4 linked regions of the Tamandua tetradactyla genome follow. The protein of the gene in region 1 binds, or shares a complex with, the protein of each later gene. Links are inferred from orthologs where the notes say so. Each region holds a gene or a part of one and is shown on either strand. Other genes may lie near its edges.

Region 1 (7,503 bases):
GAAATAAGTTTTATTTGGAGAATACATATTTTGACCCCTTAAAATTTGTTTTGTTAATTTTCCTAATAAGGTCAAGGGGACCCTTAAAAATTCAGTTACCAACAAATTTTAATGATATAGAGAGCAAAGTGATAGCAAAATATTGTTATAATGGTTGCACATATGATCTTAATTAGAATATTATGAATATCTTAAATATGTGATAATGTGATTGATATTCAGCTCATTTTTATGTATTTATCAAAGAGCTTTCCCACTTTATCAAAAGCTTATATGATATTTTTGTCTTAATATTTTGAATTTGTTGTTGAAATTAATTGCTGGTATTCATGAAAATAATGCCATAACATACACAGGCAAATGTAAAGGTTCTTATAAATATACCACGGTGTTGACTCCATTTAAACCTCATCAAATTTAGGAAGCATCAGGGAGTAAAGCACATACATCTGGACCATTCATTTAAAACAATTTTTAAAATTGCAGATCTAGCTCTTATTTCTGTTTACTTTTGTTATTCCTAGTTTTTCAAAAAGAATAAATACTTTGATTATTTTAAAAATGTATATATTTTAACCTAATAAGGTATATTTGGGCATGTGCTAACTAACATATATTAAGAAAAAAAGAGAGGCTGCATCAATTTAAGATAATTGAATATTTTGGGTAAAACACATTTCAGCTCACACTGTTCATGTGATATCTCAATTCTGTTTAATTATAGATACTAAGTATTGGTTGTTGATTTAGTGCCTTGATTTTATGATGCTATAGGGAAATATCATCTATAAAAGTAAGTTCATTTTTTATGACTAAACGCACAGATATTCTGATATTCTCTTATAATTAAAGGAGACAAATTTAGAATATAATAATACCAAATTTTTACTTCAAAAGTCCAGTTATTTACTCAAATTATATGTCTTTGCCTAATGACCCTCATTGCCTAGTGTTTCTCAGTGGTATTTTTGGAAAATCAGGATTTAAAACCATATTATTAGTACAGTTCTGAATATTTAATTATGTAATCATGGAGTCTTTTGGCTAGCAATTAAATAAAAATTAGAGAAGTGGTAGGAGTTCCTTATTATAAAATATATTAACTTGATATAACATATAATTCTAAAAAATAATCTAAATTAAGATAAAATTATTTTTAATTTGTTCCAAAACCATGGCATTGCTTTAGGCATTTAAACACGTTCTTTCCATTTCCCCTCCCAGATATCTAATGGCTACTTACAAATCTCATTCTAAAATCCCTTTTCCCATTTCCACACATATTGAGGGAACATAATATAATTAAAGATTGAAATGAAATAGGAAATCAGCCGCAATATTTTTAAAGTATCTCAAGTGTAAGGCTATTTTAAGTTTCCATTATATTGTATTTCCAGCGGAAAATTACTAAGGACTTACTCAGGATGATTTTCTAGCCAAGTGTTGCTGCGCCAGATTATGGGTAAGTAAATATAGGATGCTCCCATTGAAGGATGTTGCGCACAGTATAATTTCATTTAGGTAAGAAAATAAATTAATTATAAATTGTGTCAGTCATTTTAATTTGAACCCAAATCTGACAAATTTGCAACAGATTTGTGATATCTCTATACCAACAACTAATTTAGTAAACACGACTTTCTTAAATTGTTCAGGACAGTCTGTACTGTTGGAAGGAGCATTACAGATGCTTTATCTCAACATTTTGGTGAGTTTTGTTGTGGGAATTCTTTTTTATATATACTTTAATTTCTTTGTGGAATGTTCTGATACACTCATTTGCGACACCTCTGTTATGTTTCTCTAGCCCTACATATCTTGATATCACACTCTTCCCCCAAGAACTTTCAAAAGAAGACCAACAGGTTGAAGAAACACCAACTATTAGCTAAAGAAATTAAGATTGATATATATTACTGTCTGTACATTTTTTTTCAACCTTAGCTCTAGTTTTCCTTTGAAGCCCACCCCAAGACCCAAAACAAAAGAAACAATTCAGGGTTAGCAAAAGAGAGCCATAATCACATCTGACCACAATGAACAATGAAAATTCCATTAATTCAGTAGTTAGAGATACATGTGTACATAGAGTCAAAAGACAAATAGAAGGCAAATATAATGAATCCACCAGTGATTACTTTCAACTATCCCTTATATTCAGTCACACAGTGAGTGATATTCCCAGACCCCAAATAGTTATTCTTTTATCCTTTTCTTAGAATATCAATTCTATGGAAAGAAAAAAATTCTTCAATGTTTTCCAGCTGTTAGAAGAAAGCTTAGCAAATAATAGGGCTAATTTAAAAAGGCATTGCTCCCTGATAAAGATATTTGTTCAGAAGTATACCTTTTGATCCATTTTAGATTTTAAGTATTGCTGAATTTATTTTCTTGAATACCACTGTAAATTATAGTAGCTAGTAGCAATAGATTTTATATGCCTTTTTGGGCAAATATGCTATAGTTTTCCTAACATGCAAAATAGATGAGACTATGTTTCAACATAATTTCAATATCACTAACTAAATTTTGTTGTAGAAACATAGTTAAACTACATGGGAATACTATTCAGAATAAGCATATCTATTTTGAATAACATACTTACCCACACACAGCTCTTAAGGAAATTCTTGATGTAATATTCTTAGGATGAAATTTGAGTTTCTGAGATTCCACAGAAGTGATTTACCCCCAGTCAAGGTGGGGAAAAGTGAAAGCCTTGCAATGGGATCCTGCAGGCAGAATGAGATCCAGTTAGCAGAGCTTGATGATCTTAAACCAGGAGGTGACACTCTCTGCTGGAGAGAGGAGGGTTGTTCTGAGTAGACTGGAAATGTTGCAGATTGTTAAATGATCAGCAGCAGAAGGGAAACATCAGAGCTTCCTGTTACATCACTCTGACCCCGCCTGCAGTTAGTGTTAGGTTACTTTCTTTCTCAAATAGCACACCCAGGAAAGCAGTACTCTTTCTTATTCTGACAGAAGAGCAAGAAGCAGCCTGAACAGACACAGATCATATGCTGTATGAATGCATTGTTACTAGCAAAGGCGGGCTGTGTTTCAGTTTTACTCAGTTCTGTTAGAACTTGCCAACCAGAGTTGCCCGTGATTTGAAGGAAATCTGAATATAATATTCTTCTCAAATAATCAAAGGAGTTAGGTGTGTGCCTGTGTGAATCACAGTTTACAAAACAGCCGGGACAAAATTTGGTCTAACATTCTTCGCTTCATAAGTGAGCAAGAAAACATAATAACTGCATTCATCATAATTAATTCCATAATCTGCTTCTTATTAAATTGGAACTCTGATAATTAGATGCTGTTCCTTGATCGCTTTTCCTCAATTAGATCAAGAAATTTTATCCTGTAGGTTTTTTTTTACTTTGTTCATGAAATAACTATGCATGTGTGTACATGTATATATGCATACATATAGCATTATTTTTCATATTTAAGCATATATATTCGAGAAAGCAGACGTTTGAGAACATACACATAATTTAAAAATCATTGCACATATTTTAAATGGAGATTGATTTAATTATGTTACCACCTATAAAATGAAAAATAATTTATACTGTAGGTTTGAAGAAAATGCAGCCGTTTAATAACCATAATATTATGGAAAAAATGTAAACCATATAACAAACTTTTGGTCTGATTTTTTAAAAAAATGTTACCTCAAAAATAAAAATTTATTCTGACTGTGTTTAATAAATCACCCACAAGCTCCAGAAAAGGAAGTTGTAAATTTGAAATACATTTTTCATCTTTGACAGTATGGTAAATGTGTGAGGTACAATACTTAAAATTCCTGAAACCTAAGTATCACAGAAATCACTTAATTTCCTTGAGCTTCAATTTTCTTGTCTGTAAAATAGAAGATATGGATCAAAGATATCTGAAAATCCCTTATTATCTCTAGACTCCGAATCAACCAATTCTGTAACATCTAGAAATGGATGAGACATTGTGATCATTCAATTCTTAGCAAATTTGAGTCCAGAGGCTCTGAGTAAAGGCAAGTTATGGCATTAATCAGCAAAAATAGCTATGGGAGGGCAAGGCAACATAAATTAAAGTGATAGTATGTTTCTGAAGCAGCACACTCCTGTGATATGGAAGAAGATGATTATATAATCTTTGATTTTAATGGCGGCTAATCTCCATTGATTATAGTTTAGAGGAAAGACTTGTAAGAAATTGAGTTACACCAAATTGTTTTTTTGGGAAATAGAAAACAACTAGACAATTTAAATTGTCAAGTTATAGAATATTGCATTTTCTAGATAAGGGTCTGGTTCTGATTTCCTTTGGGGAACTGCTTATCTGAACTTCATTTTGAGCTGCTTCCTTCAGCCCTTGAGAAGAGAAGTCAGTGTTGCACGCTGTGACTTGCTCTACACACAATGACCATTTAATCAGAAAACCAACGTGGTTATTTTCAGCCGAAGCTGTGGAGGTAACTCAGTCTGGGAATGAGTGAGAAAAAAGTACAAAGCATGGGGATTGTAAATTCCAGCCCTGGAACTGAAACTTAACTTGGTATGACCATTGCCAAAAACACTCTCTAGTTCTTGTTATCTTCATTTTAAAATTCACAACAGAAGTGAATACTAGATTTTAATATCTGCATGATCAGGATCCTTGTATTTTTCTCATTTCCCATGCTTGGCATAATTTATGACCCCTAGAAAGAAATCAATGTGCATTGTTTGAATTGTATTAAATTATGAAAAGCTAAAATTTTTCCATATAAGCCTGTGAGTCCCCTAAAATTTTTGTTCTACCAAAGATTTATCAATTTTATTTGTACAACTGTAGTATATGTTGGTACATGGAAAAATCCCTGCTTAGCACTATAAGTCTTAAGATATTTAATCCAGTGATTTTTCTCCTCTACCACACATCAGGTACTGTACTAAAATGGGAAGGCTAGTATTGGCTATAGTATTCATACTTATTGGGCAGGCATCTGGGCCTAAGGTGTTAGTTCATGATGACTCTTGGATAATTTTTATTAGCATCATATATGTCTTATTTAGAAATAATATGCAAATTACCCTCCATTAATCACATATTTAAGAGCTGCCATTTTATCAGCGCCACCTCCTAAAAATATAACTTTAATGATATAATGATTTTGAAGGGGGGAATGAAAAGACAAGTAATGCAAACCCCTTAAAGACACACTAAAACATGACAAAATCTCTTTGGAAAACTACAGTAAAACAAAAATGAAAATATTTCAAAAATCAGTGGGGTGAGATTCAAGGTAGTTCAGTGTTAGAATTCTCACCTGCCATTTGGGAGACCTGGGTTCAGATACCGGCCCATGCACTCCCCACCTCTCCCCCCCCAAAACGAAAATTCAACAAATGATGGTGCAATAATGAGGTAGTCACATGGAAAAAGAATGACGTGACCCCCACCATAAAGCATACCAAAAAAAAAAAAAAAATCAGTGGTTTGATTCTAAGCCAGTGTGGCATTAATTAATTAGTTCAGCCTTGCTATATGCATGCTCTCTATATGCATGTACTTATATTATAATCCTTGTTCCGGAACAGATTAAAACCACTCTCAGTCATTTAATAAGTAACGATAAAGTCTTACTTTGAGCTTGGTACTATAATAATTGTGTTGAGGAGTGAAGGAAGAATAGGATAAGTCCTGCTCTATAGTTGCTTCCATCATAGATCGCCTAGCACATGAAGGATCAAGTGCCAGATTTTCTCTAATTAGCAACTGATGCTGCCAGCAGAGTGTGGAGTAAGCCATGCAGAGCACTGTCAAAAGGTGTTTTTGCAGAAGGGTCAAATAATATACAGGTGAAATTTGATACATATAACTGAATAGTTACATTTATTCCTTTAAGAACCCTCATTCAGCAGCTGATGTATTAACCTAGAGATAGATTTGTGGCCCCAAGTAAGTCTCAAAATTACACTAGTCTCCCAATAATGAGTTGTGATTATTATGTGAACTGCACTTTGAATCATGCTCAGGGGGAAGCTAATGCAAAGTCTCTGGGTTACTATTTGGTTTGATCTAGTTAATCAAATTAGACCCAAAATGTGGTTTGACAAATTTAGTCTCAACAGGCTGAACTGACCACTTATTTTTAATTCATTTGGATACTGACTTGGAAAACTGCCTTGAAGCAGAATTCTGCCACAAAAGCAAACCAAAGCAAAACAAAACACTTTTACATGATGCATAATGGATCGAACCTCTTTGGTGAGAGTACAAGAATAGCGGGGTCCAATAAGCTCTTTGAAAACAATATATTAATTTTTAAGGTATTATTACCTTATTACCTTTGTTTTGGTAATATCTGACAGTTATTATTTACACCTGGAGATAAATTACACAGTCAAAAATTATATATACTCTTCCTAATTAAAATATGCAACAATAATGTAAGGAGAAACAAATAATCAGTAAAATCTTCATTTTAAAATAAAAATTCTTCCAACAAGGCACTCGATCTGACTGTTTATTATTTTACCTACCAATTACTGCTAGCATTTTTCAAGCTATTTCTCAAAGCAAAGCAAAATAAATTACATTTAGTAAAAGGGCCTGGATCCATGACAGTCATTGAGAGTGAAGATGTTATTTTCCAAAAAGTTATTCCATCTATCATTACAACTAATGGGCTAATTTTTCACTCCAATTGCATGCATATCTTAAGTTATCATCTTGAGGGAAACATAATGTTATTTTAAAAAATTGCTATAATAAGGGTTTTAAAAGAGCGGAAAATTGTTTAAATTTGAAATAAGTAGACATTGAATGAGGTCCACATATAGGTAACTAAGACTGATTTACTAGTTTATATATGCTACCTTTCTTAGTATTTAATAATGTGTTTGACTAAGAAAGTCAGACAATATATCAAAAACAATTGGCTAAATGCCTATTGCAACTGACTTTTACTAAGTTCTGATGGATTTGGATCTACAAAGGAACTCAGTATTATCTTACCCTGAAAAATAGGGGAGTTGATTGCTTGAATAAGAGCTGGTACTGACAAATGAGATATGCCATGATCTAATTAAAATGGATTGTTATATACCACAAATTATAAATGTATATTTAAATAAAGGTGTGACATGTTCCTCCTGAGAGTGAACTTCCTCCAGTGTAGTGTGGGTGAATATGATAAGGTGATGATCATATGTCCAGTTACCTACGGCAATCCCCATTCACACTTTTACTCTCAAAAGTGACCAGGTTTGAACCATAAATTTTATATGATCACCCTTACCATACTTACCCATACTACACCAACAAATGGGACATAAATCCTGCGGGTGAGTCATTCAGTAATTCATTTGGGCAACTATATCTCTTTCCCAAGAAAGTTCTAAATAGTTGTTCATAATTCTAAGGTAGTTTTAGTTGTCATATAAAAAGGTAGTTTCAGTTGGCATTCTATAAGAATTGATTGTGAATTATTCTGAAATGCTTCTACTGGTGCATATTAATGTTGATTTT
Region 2 (6,925 bases), on another chromosome or scaffold:
TACAATTACCACCTTCTCTGTGTTTTATTTCACTGTCCTGCAGCAACTTACCTTATTTAACTCTCAAAGAGGTTTGTCTTCTGGCTTTATCACATACAAGGACCGTTCTGAACAAGAACAGACTGTTTCTATCTGTTTTGTGCAGGAGCATAAAAATGAAGCAGCATGAGCATTCATTTTCTTCATACTGATGCTTTGCAAAATACTATGCCCTAAAGAGAGAGGTTGAAGAGAGAGACATTGATTAACTGTCTTCCCTGCCTCACCTCTCCGAGCTAGTTAAAAATTAAAGATAAACTGCTTTTATTCTGTGTCAGAACTCTTGACCCCTTGAAACTGTTTACCTATTTTATACTTAAATTGGTTTATTTATATGTGCATTTTCCTGGAAAGGATCTATATTTTTATTAGTTCCTTAGAATAGTCAAAGATCCCTCCAGAAATGTCTCCAAGCCTTGTACTCTGCTTTACTTTTCCCTGTGAGTGACCAAATTTGCAAGACTGATTGTGTCCTTTCTCTAAACCACTTTGTGTTATCATCTGGGATACTTCTTGAATCTTGTTTTCATAGAACTTTATTTAAAAATCCTCAGATTACCAGAGGCAATTTTAACTATATGAATAATAAATGCATCATAAAATTTCCTGCTTGATAAAAGAAACATCTGCGATAATACACAATGCACTTATCTACTCACTTTTTATTCTTATTAATATCAATATGATTTATGATTTATTTCTTCTCATCACTTTTCTGAATGACCTGTGGGTGGTCACACTGGTTTAGGGACTGTGCGCGTTGTGTTAGCTAAAATACACCACAATTTTTTTTCAACCCCAAACATTACTAAGGATAAAGCTTCAATTTACTGCTAAAAATAATTCAACTGGAATGTGAAAAAGAAATTGAGTCACTATCATGGAACAAGCTTTTGGCATATTTAGGCTTATGTGTGTATATACAATGCCAAGATAAATACACTTATTATAGTGCCTTGGGGGGTTATTTAGGATCTGGCCTCTTAAAATTCTTGGGTGCAAAAAAAAAGTGGCTCTTCATTGACCAGGATTCCTTTTCTTTTTTCCTGCCAGCGACATTTTAAAGATGTTTCTTCCTTCATTTCCTTCCTTCCTTCCTCCTACTGTCCATGCTCAATGTAAGTTTACAATCATTGCAATTTGGATGGGTGAAACTCCATGTTAAGTCACTAAGAGTAGAACACCCGCTGCAGTGTTTCCTTCTAGACCTGACCTATTGAACCAAAAACACATTCTAGTGATTTGTTCAGTCTTTAATAAGCGAGTACGAGATTCCACGGGCGGGGGTGGAAATAGATCTCAAGATTTGGCAAATTCTTTTATTATTGTTATTATTGTTATTATTTTACTTAAACCCCAGTCACTTTGGGGATCATTCTCGCCCCTGCCACGCGCACACTCATACTGTGAAGTTAAGGGTGTTTGGCAAAATCCACTCAGCTGCCAAACCAGGAAGTATTTACAGAGAAAATTGACAGAGTTCTCAAACATGAGATCTCAGCTTGAGTTAGTTCTCAGGTTATCAGCACCTGGGCTGATAAGGCGCGTGCCAAGACCGCTCTAAGGTGGGAATTTTGGCATTGCTGCACCACCGCTGGCGTAGGCACTGGAGCTGAGCATAGCAGAGCTGAGTCTCTCCTCCTGGGTTCACTTTGCTTGTTGAAACCGCACGCTGCTCAAAGCGAAGTTATCGCCCAAAGCGCGCGCTTCTGCAACCTTAGCGGAGAGCTCGGGTTTCTCTCGCGGAATCCGGAGCTTTCCTGAAGGACTCATAGAAGAATCACCAAAGTGCAGACGCGGAGTCCTCTGTAGACAGAACCCACCTCCACCCCCACCCAGGGCTGGTGGGGACTGGAAGGAAAGAGTCCAGACCACGGGACTATCCTTGGCTGTGGGGCGGCCCCCATTCGTCCTTGACTTCCCAGTCTGCTGGTGGCACACGTTGGGGAAATGAAAGTAAAACCTGTCCTGGAGCGGACCCAGCTGGAAGCTGGCGACAAGTAAGTCGCAACCTCCTACACACTGCCAACCCATCCTGGACAGGGTCGGGGCAAAGAACTTGACTCGCAGGGGAGGAAGTGAAAAGAGGTGGTTAATGGAGGATGAGCGAAAAACAGAATGGTTAGCTGGGTAGGTTCCTTAAAACAGAGGAGTCGTTCGGTAATACCTGCTGTCTGCGGTGCAGACAGACCTGCTGAATGACCATGTCTGCTGTGGTGAACGCCCTGAGGCGAGCCAGCCCGCCCGAGCCCTGCCAGCTTGCTGCGTTGCGCCTCTCTGACACTCGACGCCCGGACCCCTTACAGGAGCCACCGCCAGGAACCTGCCCCCCAACACCTCAGAGCTGGAACTCTGGTCCGCTCAGATGACTTCGCACGGGGAACAGTCCTCCGAAAAAATAGCCTCGGTGTTGACATTCCTTTCCCAGGTGCAATGTCCACGGTTCAGTCCTGAGAGCGAAAAGGCGCCTGAGCCAGCAGCGAGCGGCCCAGACCACACTGTGGGCAAGGTCAGTGCAGCCGAACGCCCAGTCGCCCTTGCAATGGGTCTCAGGACCAGTATGGTTGAACTGGTAGGAAGCTTAGAGAGCTGCTGCGGGCGCGTTATAGACGGGGAAACTGGAAAGGAGGAGTGACTTGTCCCAGTTCCCAGAGCGAATTGCCATCGGATGAGAGCTAGAAACCAGTCCGCAGAATCCCAGTGGTCTCGCGTCCTCAGTCTCTCAGTCTAGGTACTGGGCTTCAGGACTTGCGGCTGAAGTGGATGATAGGACACCAGAGAAACGCCTGCAAGAAGTAGGGAGTCCTGCGGGCTGAACCTTCCCGTCCCAGTTTGGCCCCCAAGTAAGAATAAGCAAGTGAAGTTAGGAAGCAGCTATGGAAGAGCACAGGTGACAAACGTGTTTGGGGTGATTCATCATGAACAGGCACAAATCCTTGGGCGGGCGCTGGAATTCTCCTCTTCCCCCTGAAAAGGTGGTGACCCCAGCTCTAAAGAATCCACACCACGCCCCAGTATACCCTGCTTGCTTGGGGCCGAATTAGAGCTTCACTTACTAGCTTTAGTGTGACTTTGGGCAAGATACCTCACCTCTCTGAACTTCAATTTTCTACTTGATTAAATGGGAAAAGCAATGTTACCTTCCTCGCCCAACCCAAGGGCTAGTATGAGGATGAACGATCAGGATGTGGCCTTGCACTGTAAATTGTCAAGCGATTAACATAGGTGAAGCATTAGTGTGTTCCCTGGCAGTCAGTCAGTCCTCACGTTCACAATGGGTGAATGAAGGATCCGAGGGCAGCCAGACTAACTCTCAGGTTGTAACCTTATAAGGCATATTTGGATTACGAGGGAAAAAATGAAATGGTATCTTTCTTCCTAATTTTGGTTATTCCTTTATTTCCAAATAGCCACGTAAATTCTGAAATTTCAGATAGCTTCCCCCTCCAAATTCCAATTCTCATATCAGACTTTTCGGAGACTTGCCCTTATTGCGAAATTTTATCAGCAGGCCCCGGAACCCTCTACTCCCGGGGTCTCGGCCGTTCTCTGTAGCTGGCCAGCCCAATTTACCTTGGCTCAGCTTGGTGCCCTGCCCCTGAGGCTCCTGGCGAGTCTGGGGGCGCGGCCAGGTAGGCACCGAGACAGCAGGGGGCGCAATCCACCCGAGGCCAAAGCTCCCCAGATCCCGGCTCTGGCCCCCCGCTTGGTGTCCCCTTCCCGGCAGGGTCATGCAGTCCCATGCTAGGAGCCCTTAGGACTCTAGACTGCATAGGTCCTTAGGACCCAAGAGGTTGTAGTGGCCCTACTTGACCGGCCTTGAGATTTGAACTCTGTCCAGAGAGTCAGGGCTATGATAGTTTCTGCACCAATATCCTGGAGTCCTTCTCTGAACCCTTCGCGCACGAAAGACCCCCAAACCCTACACCCACTGGCAAGCAATGCGCGCGCCCGAATGTAGGCGCGCGCGCGCGCGCGGAAAAAAAGGGAGGGCGCAAGGGCAGTCCAGGCCCCGCCCCCACGCTCTTATAAAGCGGAGGAATCAGAGGCGCCCACTCAGTGGTTTCTTGGTGACACCAGCAGAGCTGCTCGATCCTTGCCACTTCTTGCTTCTCACCGCGGCCTGACATAGACACTGAGGTTTGCCACAGCCAGAGCGACATCTAGGACTTTCTCTTCGCAGTACTTGGCAGATCACCCGCTGAGCAGGTAAGCACCGCAGGCCCTGTGGTTAAGAGGAGGCGGGGGGCGGGGCGGATACCCTTATGGAGGCCGGAGACTGGTGGCTCTAGGTGAGAGGTACAACTCATTTGGAGGGTCCTCTGGACCCAGCTCGTGCACACAGCTGGAGCTCCAGCGACCCTGACCGCTCTGGTCATCTAAGTCCCGGAAAGTTGAGCAGGGAAACTCTGGGAGCTTGGCGCTGTGCAGCAGCCTCCCCCATGGGGCTTGTCACCCGCCTGGCGGGTGCAAACGCCACTGGCGCCTCTTTGCGCCCGGGGGAGATAAGCGTCTGAGTTCCGCGCAACGCGGGCTGAGCCCGCCAGCGCCCGAGCTGCCGCCAGTCCTCCGTGCCCCACCCGGGCGATGCGGCTGGCTCCCGCGCTCACGCTCCGCACTATTTTTTCTCTCCAGGTTCTGCGTATCGCCGCTGTGATGAAGCTGGTTCCCGTCGCCCTAATGTACTTGGGCTCGTTAGTCTTCCTAGGCGCGGATACAGCACCGCTTGACGTGGCGTCGGAGTTCCGAAAGAAGTGAGTATGGGCAGTGCCTTCTTTAGTCCTCTTACCTGACAGACAAGGGAAACTCGTCGCTGGACCCGAGGGACCAGGGACCAGCCCTTGGGGTCAGGCGCACCATCCCGCGCCGGCTGGGTATGGGCCGGGACGTGGCTCGGACGCACGCGAATCGGGTCTCTTGTCTTTTCTAGATGGAATAAGTGGGCTCTAAGTCGTGGGAAGCGGGAACTGCTGGTGTCCAGCAATTACCCCACCGGGCTCGCTGACGTGAAGACCGGGTCTACCCAAACTTTTATTCGGACTCAGGACGTGAAGGGCCCCTCTCGCACTCTGCAGGACAGGTAACCACACCAGGTGCCGCCGAGGGAGTGGATGTGGGGGACCTGGCCCAGAGGATACTCGGGGCTAGGTGGAAACTCAGACAGCAGGAGCGGTTTCCAGCTGTCTCGGGTCCCAGAATGGCTCCTATACCTCCTGGCTCCGGTCAAAGCCCTGTTCGATGGAGTCTCACATTGTCCTTCTTTCCCTCCCCAGCAGCCCGGATGCCACCCGCGTCCGAGTCAAGCGCTACCGCCAGAGCATGAATAACATCCAGAGCCTGCGGAGTTTTGGTTGCCGCTTCGGGACGTGTACTGTGCAGAAACTAGCGCACCAAATCTACCAATTCACAGACAAGGACAAAGACGGCGTCGCCCCCAGGAACAAGATCAGCCCCCAGGGCTACGGCCGCCGGCGCCGGCGCTCCTCGCCGGAATCCGACCCGGCCCGGACTCTGCTGTCTCCTGAGCCAGTGGCACACGGGTCCTCGGTCTCCCAGGCGCACTAAGCGCTCGGCGACCTGCTCAGGATTTAAGCGCCTGTGGCCGCCGAGAACAGACGCGCAAGCACCGCTCTGGCGCCTCCCCAGGCGGAGGGCTTCTGCGAACCAAGGCCCTCGGCCGGATCCGGACCGGTCTGAGCAGAAGCCTTGCAAATAACCGGAGTCGGGTAGGGACCATCAGACGGCTAGCCCTGGCTTTGCAGGGGCCCCTCCTTCTCCGGGGTAGAGCTGTCTTCGCCCTAATCGGGCCCGAATGCCCCGGGGTGGGGTGGGGTGGGGGTGGGGGTGTCAAAGGAATCCGAGAGAGTGTCTCCCTGGTTCACCGAGAGGAGAAACTGAGACTTAAATGTTGAGACCCCCGGGGCAAGGGTCTGAGCCACTGCCGTATCCGCCCACAAACCCATTTTTCACGGAATGTCAGCCCACCGAGGTGCAAGCCTCACTACTACTTGAACTTTCCAAAATCTAGAGGAAAAGTGCAATGCGTGTTGTATATACAGAAGTAATTATCAATATTTAAGTTTGTTGCTGTCTTTTTTTTCTTGGTAACTTCAAATATAGAGATATTTTTGTACGTTATATATTGTATTAAGGGCATTTTAAAGCAATTATATTGCCTCCCTCCCTCCTTATTTTAATACGTGAATGTCTCGGCGAGGTGTAACATTGTTGTTTGCTGCGTGGAATATGTGAGACTGTGTGTGTGAAAGAGAGACTGATTACCTGCTGTAGAAGAAGGAAACACCGTGTATAATCTATTTGTATAAAATGGGTAGGGATATGCGAAACAGCAAACTAATAAACTGTTTCAATGATGATGATGTGTTTTCGGCTCACATGTCTCGGGATGGAGGGTGCCCCTCATTTTGGCAGGCCAGGGAGCCGTGAAGCCCTAGCTGGCTTCGGAAGATGGGACAACGGCTAGGCCAGTGTGCTGGCCCTTCTCCGGGGACGATATGGCGCGGTCAGAGCTGTCACGAGTCCGGCTCTCCCTGTGCAGCGCGCGGAACGCGTGTACTGGGCGCGATTCAGGGCTTGGCGGAGACGCTCGAGGTCACCGCTTCGCGTGGCGGCCGGGCCGGGCGGGGTAGGGTGCGCTCTAGTGGGGAAGAGAGCCTGGCCTCTCCGGGTTGCGCAACAGAGTCCCAAATTTATGGATTTGCTTACCCAACCCAGTGTGAAAATGCGCCTAGGTGAGATGGGGTGGTCTCCGAGACCTACTAAAGGAGGGGTTTCCCCGTGCTGCCGTGGATGTTAAAATTAGAAACTATTCCAGCAAAATGTCTGGATATCTCCCTGCAAACCGCAGCTGGACCTGGTCAATAAC
Region 3 (7,737 bases), about 54 Mb from region 1:
CCGTCATTATGCCAAAACGGATAAGGCCAGTCCGGGGTGCCCTCCGCTGCTGTGTTGACACAACCCCTCCCAGGTCTTCTGGAGAGGCTAACCTGGTCCTGGATAGAGGGCTGGTGACAAGGGCATCTCTGGAGAGACCCCATGGGGTGGGTGCTGGGGTGAGAGTGGGCAGGCAGGGCCCCAGGGGTGTGGTGGGTGGGGCAGGCGAGTCCTGCTGGGACAGTGTGAGGGGCTGGCCACAGTGCAGCTCAGGGCAGAGCCACGGGCTGCCTCAGCCCAGGCCCCCTCCCCATCTCCACTTCTGCTTGGCCCTCCTGGCTGCAATACCCTCAGGCCTTCCCCAAACACGCACCCCAGGCTGCAGGGGCCGTACCCTGCGGGCTCAGGCAGGGCTCAAACGCAGCCCCGTCTATTGCTCTCCATGTCACAGATAGGCGTCCCTCAGTGGCTCCCAGGATGGAAGCTGGAGCCCACAGAGGGGATCCAGCCTAGAGGCCAGAGACACCCACTCCCCAGCCCCACCCTGATGGCTCCACAGAAAGCCCACGGCCAGCCTGGGGCACGTCCTCCAGGCCTGAGTCAGGGCCTGCTGAGAGGGGAGTACCCCCCCAGGACCCTCAGGGAGGCGGGCTGTGTGCCTACGGGAGGGGGGGATGGGGCTGACAGCCAGTCAACAGGGCTCCCAGTCAGCATTTAACTGGAACCCACATCACACCATAGGGCACCTGAGCAACTCATTTACCCAGGCGCCAATTTAACAGGAGGAGCTGTGAAACTGGACTCAATGATGGGGGTGGGGATGGGGGGGGGAAATCAGGAGAAATGGACTTTCCCAATTAACTATTTGCCTTAAGCAAGAAATCCACCTACAGCATTTCCTTCATGTGTCGCTTGATCCCCTTCTAGTTGGGATATAAACATTTTTTAAAACCCCTAGCCCAGACCCCACCTGACTGGCCTATGGAACAGAAAAATCCAGAAATTTCTCCCTGCAGTGAAATACTCAGAGAGGGCACACAAGCAACAAAATTGCTAATTTGTTGATTAGCAGATAAAAACCCTTCAAATTTGGACCTTGGGGTTAAAAGTGCCTCCAGATTCAAGGACCAGGAGAGAAGGATGTGCCCCCCCACCCCCACCCCCACTCTGAGGAGGGGGTCATTGCAAGCAGGACCATCCTACGCGTTATCATCTGCAAACTGCCTTCTTTTCCCACGGATGCAAAACTTTCAGGTGCAGGGCTCAGGGGCTTCTAAGAACCAGGAAACTGCACAAGACACATGAAGTTAACAGAAAACGCAGATAACCCGAGATCTTAAAAACGAAAATGCGAGCTGACCGCAGAAGACAAACAGCTCGAAACAGCCACAGACAAGTTCTTCAGCTTATGCACCAGCACGCTTTTAAAGAAAGCAGTTCACGCGGCCTTCCTGGTGGCTCATCTCCATCGCTGAGCAGGCCTGGCCGTGCCGCCACTCGGGAAGGAAGAGGACAGCGCCTGCTCGGTCATTCTTTTAATAATTGCTGGTCTCCAATGACATTAATTTAGTGATAACCTCATAAAGCGGTGTTTGTTCTGCCAAGAGAGATGCTAGCCAGACCACTCAGAATAATGCTAAGATTTCAGGGATTCTGGCCTTTCCCCAGAACCAAAGTCGTTTCCTCGGTAAACAAGGTCTTTTTTATACGTGGTCATGACTTTGGGTCTTGTGTGCACGAGCTTCAGAGGGGACAGCCTCTGGATGCCAGTAACAAATCTCGATTTGTTTGTGAAGAAACATCACGCACCCTCACTCTCTCCATGCTGACAGTAAGTTTCTTAAGAAATGGAAACAGCTTCACGTGGAGCCAGAGTCATGCACAACAGAGGAAGATAATTCTATCACAAGATTTTGCTTTTCATGTAACTTCAGCCAATTTCGGATTATATCATATTTAACCAGATGTGAGTGGCTGCACCCTCCTTGTGGTGCCTGAACCAACACTCCACAGACACAAGCTGCTTCCAAGGCTCAAAACGACGCTGGCCAGCCCTTTGTCAGGACCAGGGACGTGTGCAGCAGGGGCTTCGGGCCAAGGGCACCTGTCCTGGGAGAGTCACGGGTACGCATGGTAGCCGCGTCCCAGGGCACCGGGTTCTCACCTAAGTGACCCCCTCCATTTCCATTAAAGGATGGCGAAACAGTGAGACAGTCTAATAGTTGAAGCAGTTTATAGGGCTTTTCGGCTCAGCATTGTGTAAAAACACTAGAGGCAGGATAGTGAAGAAGACATTTCTGGTGAAGTCTTGCTAAGCGTGGTGGCATTGGGGTTTCCATTTAGAATCTCTCAAATCAGAAGGGCAAGCACGTTCTGCCACCTTATCAAGAGTCCCTTTCTCAATTGCCATCAGCCAGAAGTGCCAAGTTAAAAAGGAAAAAGAAAGGCTGTGGAAGCGTCCCCGAGCAGGGAGCCGTGCGGAAGGGAGGGGACCCCAGAAGGCTCATCCGCAGAGCAGCGACTGCTGCCTGGAACAGTCAGGTTCCGTACAGCAGCCAGGCAGACGGGCTGCGGTTCTGACTCCCCAACACTTCCGCCAGGAGCACCTTTCTGATCTCGTTAAGGGGTTCAGGGAAGCCGCTCGGAGCCAAAGGAGACGCGGGGTGAGGGACGCAAGGGGAAGCCCGCGCGCTCCTGTCATCCTGCCGGACAAGTTCCCCGGGGTGCGGGGGAAAGCTGCCCGGTGTCTTTCGGCACGCCCTGGCTCCCCGACACCCCCAAAGCTGCCCCTCTTCCCCGTGGGCGGCATCCCTTGCCCGGACACTGAGACGCTCGACCTTCTCGCCCGGAGACTCCGTGCAAAGAGGCTGGCCGCCCGCTCCGGAGCAGCGGGTCCGCGCGTCCTCGGGAAGTCAGGCCGGGCCGCCGCGTCTCTACTCACCCAAGAGCAGCCAGAGGCCCCGCCGCGGGAGGCCGCGCAGGCCCGGGGCCATGGCGCCAGGAACCGAGCAAGCCGAGTGCGCCCGCTGCGCGCCGGGGACCGAGCGCCGCGCCGGCTGGAAGGCGCGGCGGGGACGGGGGCGGGGACGGGGGCGGGGGCGGGCCGGCCCACTGCGGTCCGCGGGGGGCGGGGCGGGCCCGGGGCCAGCGGGACGCCGGGCCGAGTCCAACCACCTGCCCAGCCCGGGCGCGGGGAGAAGCGGCTACAGGCTTTCCTCCCGTCTCCGGCGGCCCGAGCCCACCGTGAGCGCGCCGCGACCTGGCGAAACCAGCGCGTCCCCTTCCCGAGGCACGGCGCTGCTCCCCAGGGCGCGGGCGCGCCTGAAATGTTCCCTGGACAAGTGAGCACTTTCACAAGTAGGGTGGGTCTCCTAGACAACTCCGAGTGGGAGGCACTCTGCTCCCCCGAGCACCATACCCCCTGCCTCGGTTCTGGCCACGCCTGCCCCAGGGTCAGCTCTGCAAAAACCCAGGACCACCGTTCCTTCTCTATGGGGGCAGATCCATAGTAACCTCAGGGCAAACACTCACAGAGACAAACTGAATACATGCAGAGACCTAAAGGAGGAACCGTGAAGATGGAGAGAAGGGCACCGCAGTCACAGAGGGCTTGGGGACTGGTAGGAAAGGGTTCTTGAAGGACCTGTAAGGTGGCCAGGGTGGGCTTCCTGTTCAGGATGGTTGGAGAGGGGCTGGGAGCCCAGCAGGAGGCTGTGAGGGCCTTGTCAGAAGCCTGATCTTGAGCTTGGAGGCATGGAGGAGCTTTCGAGTAGAAAAATAGGGTTAAGATTTGCCCTGGGAGCTGCATTCTGGCTTCTGTGTGGGCTGATGGGGAGGCAGGAGTGGCAAAGACTGGGTGTAGGAGTTTGCATGAAATGGTCAGAAAAGAGCTCTCTGTGGGCATGTGAGTGCTTGTGGGGAAGGGAAACCTGGGGGGGAATAGGTCTGACCCAGGAAGCATCAGCCTGGGGTGGCTAGGTAGGGCTTTCAGAGCCATCATGGTGGCAGGACTCCTCCTTGGGCTGGTTCCATTTCGGCAACAGAGTAAATTCATACTCCTGCTAGGGGACAAACCACAGCCCGAGGGGAAGGCTTTGTGGCGGCAATGCCTTTTTCCTGAAGCTTCATGCACTCAACACAATGAGCCCACCCATTCATCAGGTCAGTACTGGAGGGGTAAACTGAATTGTCTTTAGGCTGAGGGCAAGACAGCAGGGTCTGAGGCTGAGGTTGCAGGCACCTGCTGTAAACTCAGAGAAGAGGTGCCACATCTCCACTCTTGGATACCAGCAAGCAGAAGGGCACCAAGGTCCACACACTTCCAACCTGGGAGTCCCAAAGGCCCTGGGAGAGGAGGGTAGGCAGATGGCAGGGGAGGGCACACACTGTCTTGATTAGCCTCACTTCCTGACCCCCACCTCTTTCATTGGACAGACCTGGGAGTGCCTGCTGCGTGCAAGGCTGCCAGGTGAGCACTGCAGCCCTGCCTCTCATTGGTGAAGCTAGTGGTGACCCCCAGCAAATGTGGGCCTGACATGAGCACCAGTATACAGGGACCATGTGGCGCGATGGGCACAGAGGGCCCCTGCCTCTCCTGCACGTCAAGGGGAGGATAAAGGAAGACAGGAGAAAAGGCAGCCCCCAGCAGTCCTTGAAGGCAGTCTGGGAGAAGGCAGGAGAGGAGGAGGTCCTCCGTGCCCATAACTCCACATGGTTCCTGTATACTGGTGCTCACATCAGCCCCAAATTTGCTGGAGGGCACCATTGGCTTTACCAATGAGAGGCAGGACTGCATTGCTCACCAGCAGCCATCAAACTAGAACACCTTTGAAATCTAATAGTTGTGCTGGGATGGGTCTTGGATTCAATCACTCTGAGCTAATCTTTCCAGAAATACCAGAGCAATATACCAGAAATGGAATGGCTTTTAAAAAGGGGAATTTAATAAATTGGTAGTTTAGAGTTCTAAGGCTGAGAAAATGCCTCAATTAAAGCAAGTCTATAGAAATGTCCTATCTAAGGCATCCAGGGAAAGATACCTTTGCTCAAGAAGGCCGATGAAGTTCAGGGTTTCTTTCTGAAGTGAGAAGGCACATGGCAAACAGTCAGAGTTTCTATCTCATCTGGAAAGGCACATGATGAACACAGTCAGGGTTCCTCTCTCATCTGGAAAGGCACATGGTAAGTATGTTGGTCAGGGTTCCTCTCTCATCTGGAAGGGCACATGGTGAGCCCGGCATCATCTGCTAGCTTCTTCTCCTGGCTTTCTGTTTCATGAAGCTGCCCGGGAGGTGTGTTCCTTCTTCCTCTCCAAAGGTTGCTGGCTGGCAGACTCTGCCTCTTGCGGCTATATTGCTCTGCTCTGTTCTCTCTGAATCGCTGTCATTTTCCAAAATGTTTCCTCTTTTTTAAATTTTTTATTAATTAACGGAAAAAAAGAAATTAACCCAACATTTAGAAATCATACCATTCTACATATGCAATCAGTAATTCTTAACATCATCACATAGATGCATGATCATTGTTTCTTAGTACATTTGCATCGGTTTAGAAGAACTAGCAACACAACAGAAAAAGATATAGAATGTTAATATAGAGAAAAGAAATAAAAGTAATAATAATAGTAAAAACAAACAAACAAACAAAAAAAACCCTATAGCTCAGATGCAGCTTCATTCAGTGTTTTAACATGATTACTTTACAATTAGGTATTATTGTGCTGTCCATTTTTGAGTTTTTGTATCTAGTCCTGTTACACAGTCTGTATCCCTTCAGCTCCAATTACCCATTATCTTACCCTGTTTCTAACTCCTGCTGGACTCTGTTACCAATGACATATTCCAAGTTTATTCTCGAATGTCCGTTCACATCAGTGGGACCATACAGTATTTGTCCTTTAGTTTTTGTCTGGACTCACTCAGCATAATGTTCTCTAGGTCCATCCATGTTATTACATGCTTCATAAGTTTATTCTGTCTTAAAGCTGCATAATATTCCATCGTATGTATATACCACAGTTTGTTTAGCCATTCCGCTGTTGATGGACATTTAGGCTGTCTCCATCTCTTTGCAATTGTAAACAACACTGCTAAAAACATTGGTGTGCAAATGTCCGTTTGTGTCTTTGCCCTTAAGTCCTTTGAGTAGATACCCAGCAATGGGATTGCTGGGTCGTATGGCAATTCTATATTCAGCTTTTTGAGGAACCGCCAAACTGCCTTCCACAGTGGTTGCACCATTTGACATTCCCACCAACAGTGGATAGGTGTACCTCTTTCTCTGCATCCTCTCCAGCACTTGTCATTTTCTGTTTTGTTGATAAAGGCCATTCTGGTGGGTGTGAGATGATATCTCATTGTGGTTTTGATTTGCATTTCTCTAATGGCCAGGGACATTGAGCATCTCTTCATGTGCCTTTTGGCCATTTGTATTTCCTCTTCTGGTAGGTGTCTGTTCAAGTCTTTTTCCCATTTTGTAATGGGGTTGGCTGTCTTTTTGTTGTTGAGTTGGACAATCTCTTTATAAATTCTGGATACTAGACCTTTATCTGATATGTCATTTCCAAATATTGTCTCCCATTGTGTAGGCTGTCTTTCTACTTTCTTGATGAAGTTCTTTGATGCACAAAAGTGTTTAATTTTGAGGCGCTCCCATTTATTTATTTCCTTCTTCAGTGCTCTTGCTTTAGGTTTAAGGTCCATAAAACCGCCTCCAATTGTAAGTTTCATAAGATATCTCCCTACATTTTCCTCTAACTGTTTTATGGTCTTAGACCTAATGTTTAGATCTTTGATCCATTTTGAGTTAACTTTTGTATAAGGTGTGAGATATGGGTCTTCCTTCATTCTTTCACATATGGATATCCAGTTCTCTAGGCACCATTTATTGAAGAGACTGTTCTGTCCCAGGTGAGTTGGCTTAACTGCCTTATCAAAGATCAAATGTCCATAGATGAGAGGGTCTATATCTGAGCACTCTATTCGATTCCATTGGTCGATATATCTATCTTTATGCCAATACCATGCTGTTTTGACCACTGTGGCTTCATAATATGCCTTAAAGTCAGGCAGCGTGAGACCTCCAGCTTCGTTTTTTTTCCTCAAGATGTTTTTAACAATTCGGGGCACCCTGCCCTTCCAGATAAATTTGCTTATTGGTTTTTCTATTTCTGAAATATAAGTTGTTGGGATTTTGATTGGTATTGCATTGAATCTGTGGATCAATTTAGGTAGGATTGACATCTTAACTATATTTAGTCTTCCAATCCATGAACACGGTATGCCCTTCCATCTACTTAGGTCTTCTGTGATTTCTTTTAGCAGTTTTTTGTAGTTTTCTTTATATAGGTTTTTTGTCTCTTTAGTTAAATTTATTCCTAGGTATTTTATTCTTTTAGTTGCAATTGTAAATGGGATTCGTTTCTTGATTTCCCCCTCAGCTTGTTCATTACTAGTGTATAGAAATGCTACAGATTTTTGAATGTTGATCTTGTAACCTGCTACTTTGCTGTACTCATTTATTAGCTCTAGTAGTTTTGTTGTGGATTTTTCCGGGTTTTCGATGTATAGTATCATATCGTCTGCAAACAGTGATAGTTTTACTTCTTCCTTTCCAATTTTGATGCCTTGTATTTCTTTTTCTAGTCTAATTGCTCTGGCTAGAACTTCCAACACAATGTTGAATAATAGTGGTGATAGTGGACATCCTTGTCTTGTTCCTGATCTTAGGGGGAAAGTTTTCAATTTTTCCCCATTGAGG
Region 4 (6,911 bases), on another chromosome or scaffold:
ACATCACCCCAACTGCTGGCCCCCATCTGTTGTCCAGACCGGAAGGGAGTCTCTTCCTGCATGTTTCCTGGAGCAGAGTTTGGAAAGGGGCAGGAAAGGCCTGGCCTGGGAGGAAGAAGTGCAGGGGTGTGGTTTTCAGGTGGGGGAGGGACAGTGAGGGGAAGTGGCCATCCAGAGTCTGCTGCCCAGAGCTGAGGGCCTGTGGGAGTGGCAGAGAGTCTGGGAAGGACACAGGCCTCATTGGGATGGAGAAAGCAACACTGTAAAAAAAAAAAAAAGTTTATTTTAAAGATTACAAAGCTGTGTAACCCCACCAGCTTGGTTTCCACCAATCCAAGGACCTGCAGTAGGGGTAGGAGTGAGAGAAGAGGGTAGAGAAGGGAGGAGAGAGATTTTTGTGGGAGTAGGGGGGAGGGGGAAGATGGCCCCTGAGAAGCTTGTGCCCCCTAGGCCTGGGCCTCACTGTCTTTACTCCGCCATACCACAAGGGTGACCAGGAAGGGGATGAGGCAGATGGGGGCTATTATCATGGCCAGGAGCACATCCTCTGGGGGGTCAGAGAAGGTGGACTGCACCAGGGAGCAGTTGGCAAAGTGAATCTGGTGAGTGTCAAAGATGATCCTCTCGGCCCAGGGATTGGGGAAGCCCAGGCCAAACTCTTCAGCATTCAGCTCCAAGCAATCTCGCAGACTGCTGTAAGGCCTGGGGATGGGAGAGGATTTGAGTGAGGGGTTGGGCCCAGAGAGAGGACTGCCCCACACTCATTCAAGGTACAGCTGTAAGGAGCAGCCCCACCCAGGCCCAAGCCACCGGCCAGCACTGCCCCTACCTGCTAATCATGGCCCAGTCACACCAATCCTTTTGAATAGAGTCCATATAAGCCTTATAATGCTGCCAGCACTGTCGGACATTTGTCTCATATTCCTCCTCCACTGTCTTCCCTGTGGAGGGAAGATACTCCACATTGATCCCATCCCTGCCCCTCCTCCCAAACCGTCTGTCCCAGATACTTCCAGCAAAGAATCCTGTTCCTCTCTTCAGAATCCTGTTCCTCTCTTCAAACACAGGGACCCGCAGGAATGCCTGAGAAGTTTCCCAAGCATGACACTTTTAGCTAAGGAGACAGTCCAGGCCCAGGAATTTAATGCCTTCCATGTGTACCATATTTCCCAATCTAACAAGAGCTGAAGCACACCTATTTTCATGGGGTCTTCTCACCCACCTGTAAGGTGGGCCACCTCAGAGCCGGGCAGGGGCATTGTGGAATAAGAGGGGAAAACACCTCAAGGAATCACAAGAGAGAAAAGAGGAGGGTTTAGTGGGGTACCACTTGAGGTTGAGGCCTGCCAGGAGGGAAAGAGAGCCTTCCTGTTGATCTGGCTCCCCTCCTTGCCCTGCATCCTCCCGTAGTAGCTGGTACTCACCCTCTGAATTCAAGATGCCTGAGGTGGGAAGAGGCTGAGCCAGGGACTCCTGGGGCTTCACAACAACTGTAGGCAGATATAGGAAAGGGAGGTGGGATGGCGGGGACCTGGACAGCGGAGCCTGAAGAATTTGGGTCCGAGCCCCTTAGAGGTCAGGACTACCCTTGGAAGAGAAAAGAAATAATACAGCCCCCCCCCCCCAAAAAAAAACCATAATCCTCAATGCCCAGGAAGGGAGGGGCTGGTACCACTCACATCCAAGTCGCCAGAGCCCTCTCCGCCCTCGTCAGTCCCAGACCTCCCAAGACGTCCCAGCTGGGCCCTGGGCACTTGAGCTTTCCCCAAGTTGGAAGCAGCTCGCGCGGCGCCGCACCAAGTTGGGGCCAGGGAATCCCGAAGGACAGCGCTCGTCCGTACGTGTCTCAGCATCTGCACCGCAGCCTCGGCCGTCCATCCCCGCACGGTTCCCGGGCCCCCCGCATCTCCCGCCCTGGCCCCGGGGCGCTGCGCTCACCGCTCAGCAGGAGTAGGAGGCGGAGCGTTCTCGGCAGCCCGGCGCGGATCGCAGCGCAGCGCGGGACGCCGGTGCGCTCCGCCCGGAGCGAGGTCATCGCGCTGCTGGGAGGCGAAGTGGCGAGTGGCGGCGGCACTGAGCCGGCCCGGGTGGGGCCGCCTATATCCCCTGCCGAAGTGCAGGAAGCCGCTCCGTTTCCTCGGAGGGGCTGGGACGGCTGCAGCCACGTAGGGGGCGGGGGGCGAGCTTGAGGGGGAGTCGCGGCTGCCGCCGGCCGCTGACGCCTGCTGCTCCCTCCGCCTTGGCGGCGCGGGCCTGCCTTTCTTCCAGCTCACCCTGCGGGGCTGGACAGCTCCCCTCGAAACCCCAGAACCGGGATCTGTTTCCTGGGCTCGGCCGAATGGCGCCCAGTACTCTCCGTGGTCTCACTGCATCTGCGTCCCTGATTCCAGTCGCCCCCTTTTCTGGGGGGCACTGTAGCTGAGGTGGGAGTGGGAAAGCTGCTCTCCGGGACCTAAAGAAGCGGGAAAGGGGGGCTGGAAGGCTGGACCCCGCAGGATCCAAGGCAGGGAGTTGAGGCTGTCTTGGGCCGTGGGAGAAGGGGCGCCTGGAGCTGGGCCCTGCAGCTCAGAGTTCCTTTTCCCTGGGAACACCCACTGCTGTTGGCCCTGCCTGCCAAAGCTAGGGCGGAAAAGAGTGAGCTAGCCCTCAGAGTCTGGAGAAGAGGTAGAAGAAAGAGGGGAAACCAAAGTCCAAATGCCTTCCCTTCAAGGCACCGCCTGAGCCCTAGATCCACAAACTGTTGGGGAGGGAGGGGCAAAAGTAAGATGACTGCATTCCCAGGAAGAAGGTAGCTACCACCCTAAAGGTCAAGGCCATGAGAAAGAAGTGGGGTGGCTGTTAGAACCTACAACTTGCAACTTCATTTTTGAGATGGATATATCATAATCCCCATTTTACAGAGAAAGAGGCTGAAGCCCAGAGCAAGGGCACAGGACTTGTCAGAAGGTCTAGATTCTAATCCCTACCATCGCGGTCCCCAGCTGTATAGCCTTGACTTGTTGACCTTCACACACTCAGATCCCTCCCATGTAAAACAGGGACAGCATTACCCTCCTCACCAAACTAGTGAATATGAAATATGCAAAAGGACATTGTACTCAGCGGATGCTAATTTCCTTTTATCCTTTCCTAAGTGACTTGCCCAAGGTCACGCTGCTAGGAGGTAAAAAGGTTGATCCTGGGGCCATAGGGCCCAGCTAAACCACAGCTGCCTCTGGGTCCTGGGCCAGAGCTTCATTAGCCTAAAGCAGCCAAGGAGCCCAGGAGCTGGGACGGCCATGACGTTCAACTCAGACACAGCTGTCAGCACTGAACTTTGCTAAATTATTCCCAGACACTGACCCTTGGACTCAGCAGCTGCTGTTTTCCCAGTTGAGTGATTCTTGCCCACCACAAATTATTTTTCATGGTCTCTCTTTTTTTTTTTTTTTTTTTATTAATTAAAAAAAGAATTAACAAAACAATTAGAAATCATTCCAATCTACATGTACAATCAGTAATTCTTAATAACATCACATAGTTGCATATTCATCATTTCTTAGTACATTTGCATCGATTTAGAAAGAGAAATAAAAAGACAAGAGAATAAGAATTAAAACAATAATAGAAAGAAAAAAAAACAAAAAAAACAAAAACAAAAAACCTATACCTCACATGCAGCTTCATTCAGTGTTTTAACATAATTGCATTACAATTGGGTAGTATTGTGCTGTCCATTTCTGAGTTTTTATATCCAGTCCCGTTGTACAGTCTGTATCCCTTCATCTCCAATTATCCCTTCTCTCTTTTTTTTTTTTTAATTAACGGAAAAAAAGAAATTAACCCAACATTTAGAGATCATACCATTCTACACATGCAATCATTAATTCTTAACATCATCACATAGATGCATGATCATCATTTCTTAGTACATTTGCATTGGTTTAGAAGAACTAGCAACATAACCGAAAAAGATATAGAATGTTAATATAGAGAAAAAAATAAAAGTAATAATAGTAAAATCAAAACAAAACAAAACAAAACAAAAACCTATAGCTCAGATGCAGCTTCATTCAGTGTTTTAACATGATTACTTTACAATTAGGTATTATTGTGCTGTCCATTTTTGAGTTTTTGTATCTAGTCCTGTTGCACAGTCTGTATCCCTTCAGCTTCAATTACCCATTGTCTTACCCTGTTTCTAACTCCTGCTGAACTCTGTTACCAATGACATATTTCAAGTTTATTCTCGAATGTCTGTTCACATCAGTGGGACCATACAGTATTTGTCCTTTAGTTTTTGGCTGGATTCACTCAGCATAATATTCTCTAGGTCCATCCATGTTATTACATGGTTCATAAGTTTATCTTGTCTTAAAGCTGCATAATATTCCATCGTATGTATATACCACAGTTTGTTTAGCCACTCTTCTGTTGATGGAGATTTTGGCTGTTTCCATCTCTTTGCAATTGTAAATAATGCTGCTATAAACATTGGTGTGCAAATTTTCATGGTCTCTTGCTCTTAAAATCTTTATTTCAGGGTCTCAGGCTCTCAAATCGTGGCTATTGACAACCTGTTGTCCTCCTCCACGGCTGGGGTCAGGAGGTGAATTTAGCAAAGCTTCCAGAGGGAGAGGGGAAGTGGCCTGCTTGGTGTTAACCTTTAAGGGTCATCTCCTGCAGTGATGCAGAAGAGTCACCTTTCTTTCAGAGCCACTTTCGACTGGACACCAAATGCTATCTTTTCTCTCAGAATATCCGCGAGTACCCTTTTCAAGAAGAAGCTATGGTTGAGAGGGAGATTCCTGGGTTATAAGATGGGAGGAGGGCACAACAAGGGACAGAAAGCAAATCCAGACTTTTTCACTGGGCTGGGTCCAGAAGCCCCTGAGCCCACTATGGGTTAGGACTAAGGACGGGACAAGACTGAAGTTGTCAAAAGCAAATGCTGGGTTTGAAATAGGGCAATATGGTATAATGGGCTAAAATATCCTAAAATGGTTAGGATTCTGAGGCCAGGTTCTGCCCCTGTCTTACTGTGTAACCTTGGACAGGTCACTTTATATCTCTGGACCTCAACATTTTCACATATAAAATTGCCGTAGAATAAAAAGGGAAATGTAGATGACTCAGTAGGAAGTGTTATGTTTAACTTAGGGTTGGGTTTAAGTTTGTATGGTAATGTAATGACCTACAAAGAAGAGCTTATGTAACCATTCCTGAACTTAGAAGTCCAGATCCTCCCATTGGAGAATCTACTGATTTTCCCCCTTTCCCTATTTAATATCTGGTGGATATTTTCATTGACTGCTGGACATCTTGGTAACTGAGGGTCTGCTATAGGGGCCCCTTAGTGCTTAACAGGAGACTGGAGACTTTACCTTCCTGTTCCAAGTTGCCATAGGAGATAGTCACATGATCTACAGATATGAGACAGGGAAGGGATTTTTCAGGGTCTGAGGCTGTTTTTATCATGGAAAGCCCCCTCTTTCCAGCCATCCTTGGGGGCCTTTAACTTCTCTTTTAGCCCACTTCTGCTTTCGCTATAAAAAAATTTTTTTTCATTACAGGTAAAATATAAGTATGTACTAATTGTAAAATATTTACATAACATAGAAAACTATAACTCCACCCTGTCTCACTTACCTCCCCACATATTTTAGATTAAAAACAACATAAATGGGATTTAATGTACCTATTTGTCAATGACTTTTAAACTTAATAGGTCTTGCATATCTTTCCATGTTACTATACATAAATGTGCCTCTTTCCTTTTAACATAGCATAATATTGTTTTTAGTCTCTTTTTTCTAATATCCAGTGGGCAGATATTTTTTCTTCTATCTGCCCCCCTCCTCCCCGCCAGTGCCTGGGAAGAAAAGGATCAGATTCCGGTCCAGCTGGTCATTGTCTAGCGATTTCCGGACCCAACCTAGATTGATTCCTTCTGGAATTTACTGACATGTAAAAAAATTCCCTTCTTATTATCTGCCAAGGGCTTTCCTGCCTGGAGCAGGGGAGAGGTGATGCAACCACTAAATCCAGAACAACATAGAAGAGAGTAAAAGGCACTGGGGGCCCCCTACACCATGCAAATTATATGCACCCTGAAAGTAGCATCTTTACCATGTAGAGACATTCACACATGCTGGCCTCTGTCCAAACTGTCTGCAAAATGAAGAGTAGAGCGCCAGAGAAGATGTGAGGGAGAGGGTCAGAGAAGCTAGAAGTCCCTCCTGAGAAGAGTCTGATTCTTCAGAGGGATCAAAGGAAGCAGGGAGGACCTGAGAAGCTGCAAGCCAGGGAGGCAGCTGGCTAAAGGAGGGAAAGCAAAGGGGTAGAGACACAACTACTCAATCTCTCCCCAGGTTCCTCAGCTACAGAATGAGATGAACTTGATTACCTCCTAAAGAGAATTGTTATTAAACAAAAATTTGTCCCTGAGTTAGAAAGAAGCAGAGAAAATGTATTCCTCGTCAACCGCTGGGGACTGAATAGTAACTGCCATTTATTGAATGCTCACCTAACTATGTCTTCATAGTGTGTTCTCTGACACATGTGCCAGGTGCTTTGTATGCATTTCTTAAAGCCCTACCCCATAGGATCAGAACTATCCTGTTCATGAGTAAAATGGGGAAACAGGATCAGAGAGTTTAAATGCTTTGCCCAAGGTCCCAGAGCTTATCATTGTCAGAGTCAGGATTTGAATCCAGGACTGCTCAATACTAAGTGTTCTAGTTTGCTAGCTGCCAGAATGCAATATACCAGAAACGGAATGGCTTTTAAAAGGGGGATTTAATAAGTTGCTAGTTTACAGTTCTAAGACTGTGAAATTGTCCGAATCAAAACAAGTCTATAGAAATGTCCAACCTAAGGCATCCAGGCAAAGATACCTTGGTTCAAGAAGACTGATGATGTTCAGCATTTCT

What was found.
Region 2: the proteins of CALCRL (region 1) and ADM are in contact, whole or in part, in a cryo-EM structure (PDB 6UUS), measured with the Homo sapiens proteins. The link is inferred for Tamandua tetradactyla from reciprocal best matches to the Homo sapiens genes CALCRL and ADM. Residues at the interface, in NP_001258680.1 of Homo sapiens: Val36, Thr37, Asp70, Gly71, Trp72, Asp90, Tyr91, Phe92, Gln93, Asp94, Phe95, Asp96, Pro97, His114, Ser117, Thr120, Trp121, Thr122, Tyr124, Thr125, Asn128, Val135, Ala138, Leu139, Leu141, Phe142, Thr145, Thr191, Leu195, Ala199; in NP_001115.1 of Homo sapiens: Cys110, Arg111, Phe112, Gly113, Thr114, Cys115, Thr116, Val117, Gln118, Lys119, Leu120, Ala121, His122, Gln123, Ile124, Tyr125, Gln126, Phe127, Thr128, Asp129, Lys130, Asp131, Lys132, Asp133, Asn134, Ala136, Pro137, Lys140, Ser142, Pro143.
Region 3: the proteins of CALCRL (region 1) and RAMP1 are in contact, whole or in part, in a cryo-EM structure (PDB 6E3Y), measured with the Homo sapiens proteins. The link is inferred for Tamandua tetradactyla from reciprocal best matches to the Homo sapiens genes CALCRL and RAMP1. Residues at the interface, in NP_001258680.1 of Homo sapiens: Asn39, Met42, Thr43, Gln45, Tyr46, Glu47, Tyr49, Gln50, Lys51, Ile52, Met53, Gln54, Thr68, Trp69, Asp70, Gly71, Arg113, Arg119, Thr120, Phe228, Leu231, Ile235, Thr239, Val243, Ala244, Gln250, Trp254, Tyr255, Leu258, Phe262; in NP_005846.1 of Homo sapiens: Trp59, Ile63, Tyr66, Arg67, Ala70, Phe83, Trp84, Pro85, Asp90, Phe93, Leu94, His97, Gly98, Phe101, Arg102, Cys104, Pro105, Ile106, Ser107, Gly108, Arg109, Ala110, Val111, Arg112, Asp113, Pro114, Ile118, Leu119, Phe122, Ile123.
Region 4: the proteins of CALCRL (region 1) and RAMP2 are in contact, whole or in part, in a crystal structure (PDB 3AQF), measured with the Homo sapiens proteins. The link is inferred for Tamandua tetradactyla from reciprocal best matches to the Homo sapiens genes CALCRL and RAMP2. Residues at the interface, in NP_001258680.1 of Homo sapiens: Arg38, Asn39, Ile41, Met42, Thr43, Gln45, Tyr46, Glu47, Tyr49, Gln50, Lys51, Ile52, Met53, Gln54, Trp69, Asp70, Gly71, Arg119; in NP_005845.2 of Homo sapiens: Trp86, Ile89, Tyr93, Ser94, Arg97, Leu109, Gly110, Pro112, Glu117, Ile120, Phe121, His124, Gln125, Phe128, Ala129, Cys131, Ser132, Leu133, Val134.

The regions. Positions count from the first base shown.
Region 1 is NC_135329.1:160,930,826-160,938,328, forward strand, and holds the start of CALCRL (calcitonin gene-related peptide type 1 receptor), read right to left. Parts: upstream 3,021-7,503; 5' UTR 2,606-3,020; intron 1-2,605. UniProt on the Homo sapiens protein: G protein-coupled receptor which specificity is determined by its interaction with receptor-activity-modifying proteins (RAMPs). Together with RAMP1, form the receptor complex for calcitonin-gene-related peptides CALCA/CGRP1 and CALCB/CGRP2.
Region 2 is NC_135334.1:85,045,990-85,052,914, forward strand, and holds ADM (pro-adrenomedullin), read left to right. Parts: upstream 1-4,084; 5' UTR 4,085-4,248; intron 4,249-4,674; 5' UTR 4,675-4,695; coding exon 4,696-4,793; intron 4,794-4,969; coding exon 4,970-5,119; intron 5,120-5,312; coding exon 5,313-5,604; 3' UTR 5,605-6,416; downstream 6,417-6,925. UniProt on the Homo sapiens protein: Adrenomedullin/ADM and proadrenomedullin N-20 terminal peptide/PAMP are peptide hormones that act as potent hypotensive and vasodilatator agents. Numerous actions have been reported most related to the physiologic control of fluid and electrolyte homeostasis.
Region 3 is NC_135329.1:215,246,903-215,254,639, forward strand, and holds the start of RAMP1 (receptor activity-modifying protein 1), read right to left. Parts: upstream 3,019-7,737; 5' UTR 2,973-3,018; coding exon 2,921-2,972; intron 1-2,920. UniProt on the Homo sapiens protein: Accessory protein that interacts with and modulates the function of G-protein coupled receptors including calcitonin gene-related peptide type 1 receptor (CALCRL) and calcitonin receptor (CALCR). Required for the transport of CALCRL to the plasma membrane.
Region 4 is NC_135332.1:24,492,313-24,499,223, forward strand, and holds RAMP2 (receptor activity-modifying protein 2), read right to left. Parts: upstream 3,013-6,911; 5' UTR 2,036-3,012; coding exon 1,939-2,035; intron 1,491-1,938; coding exon 1,425-1,490; intron 942-1,424; coding exon 830-941; intron 703-829; coding exon 447-702; 3' UTR 266-446; downstream 1-265. UniProt on the Homo sapiens protein: Accessory protein that interacts with and modulates the function of G-protein coupled receptors including calcitonin gene-related peptide type 1 receptor (CALCRL) and calcitonin receptor (CALCR). Required for the transport of CALCRL to the plasma membrane.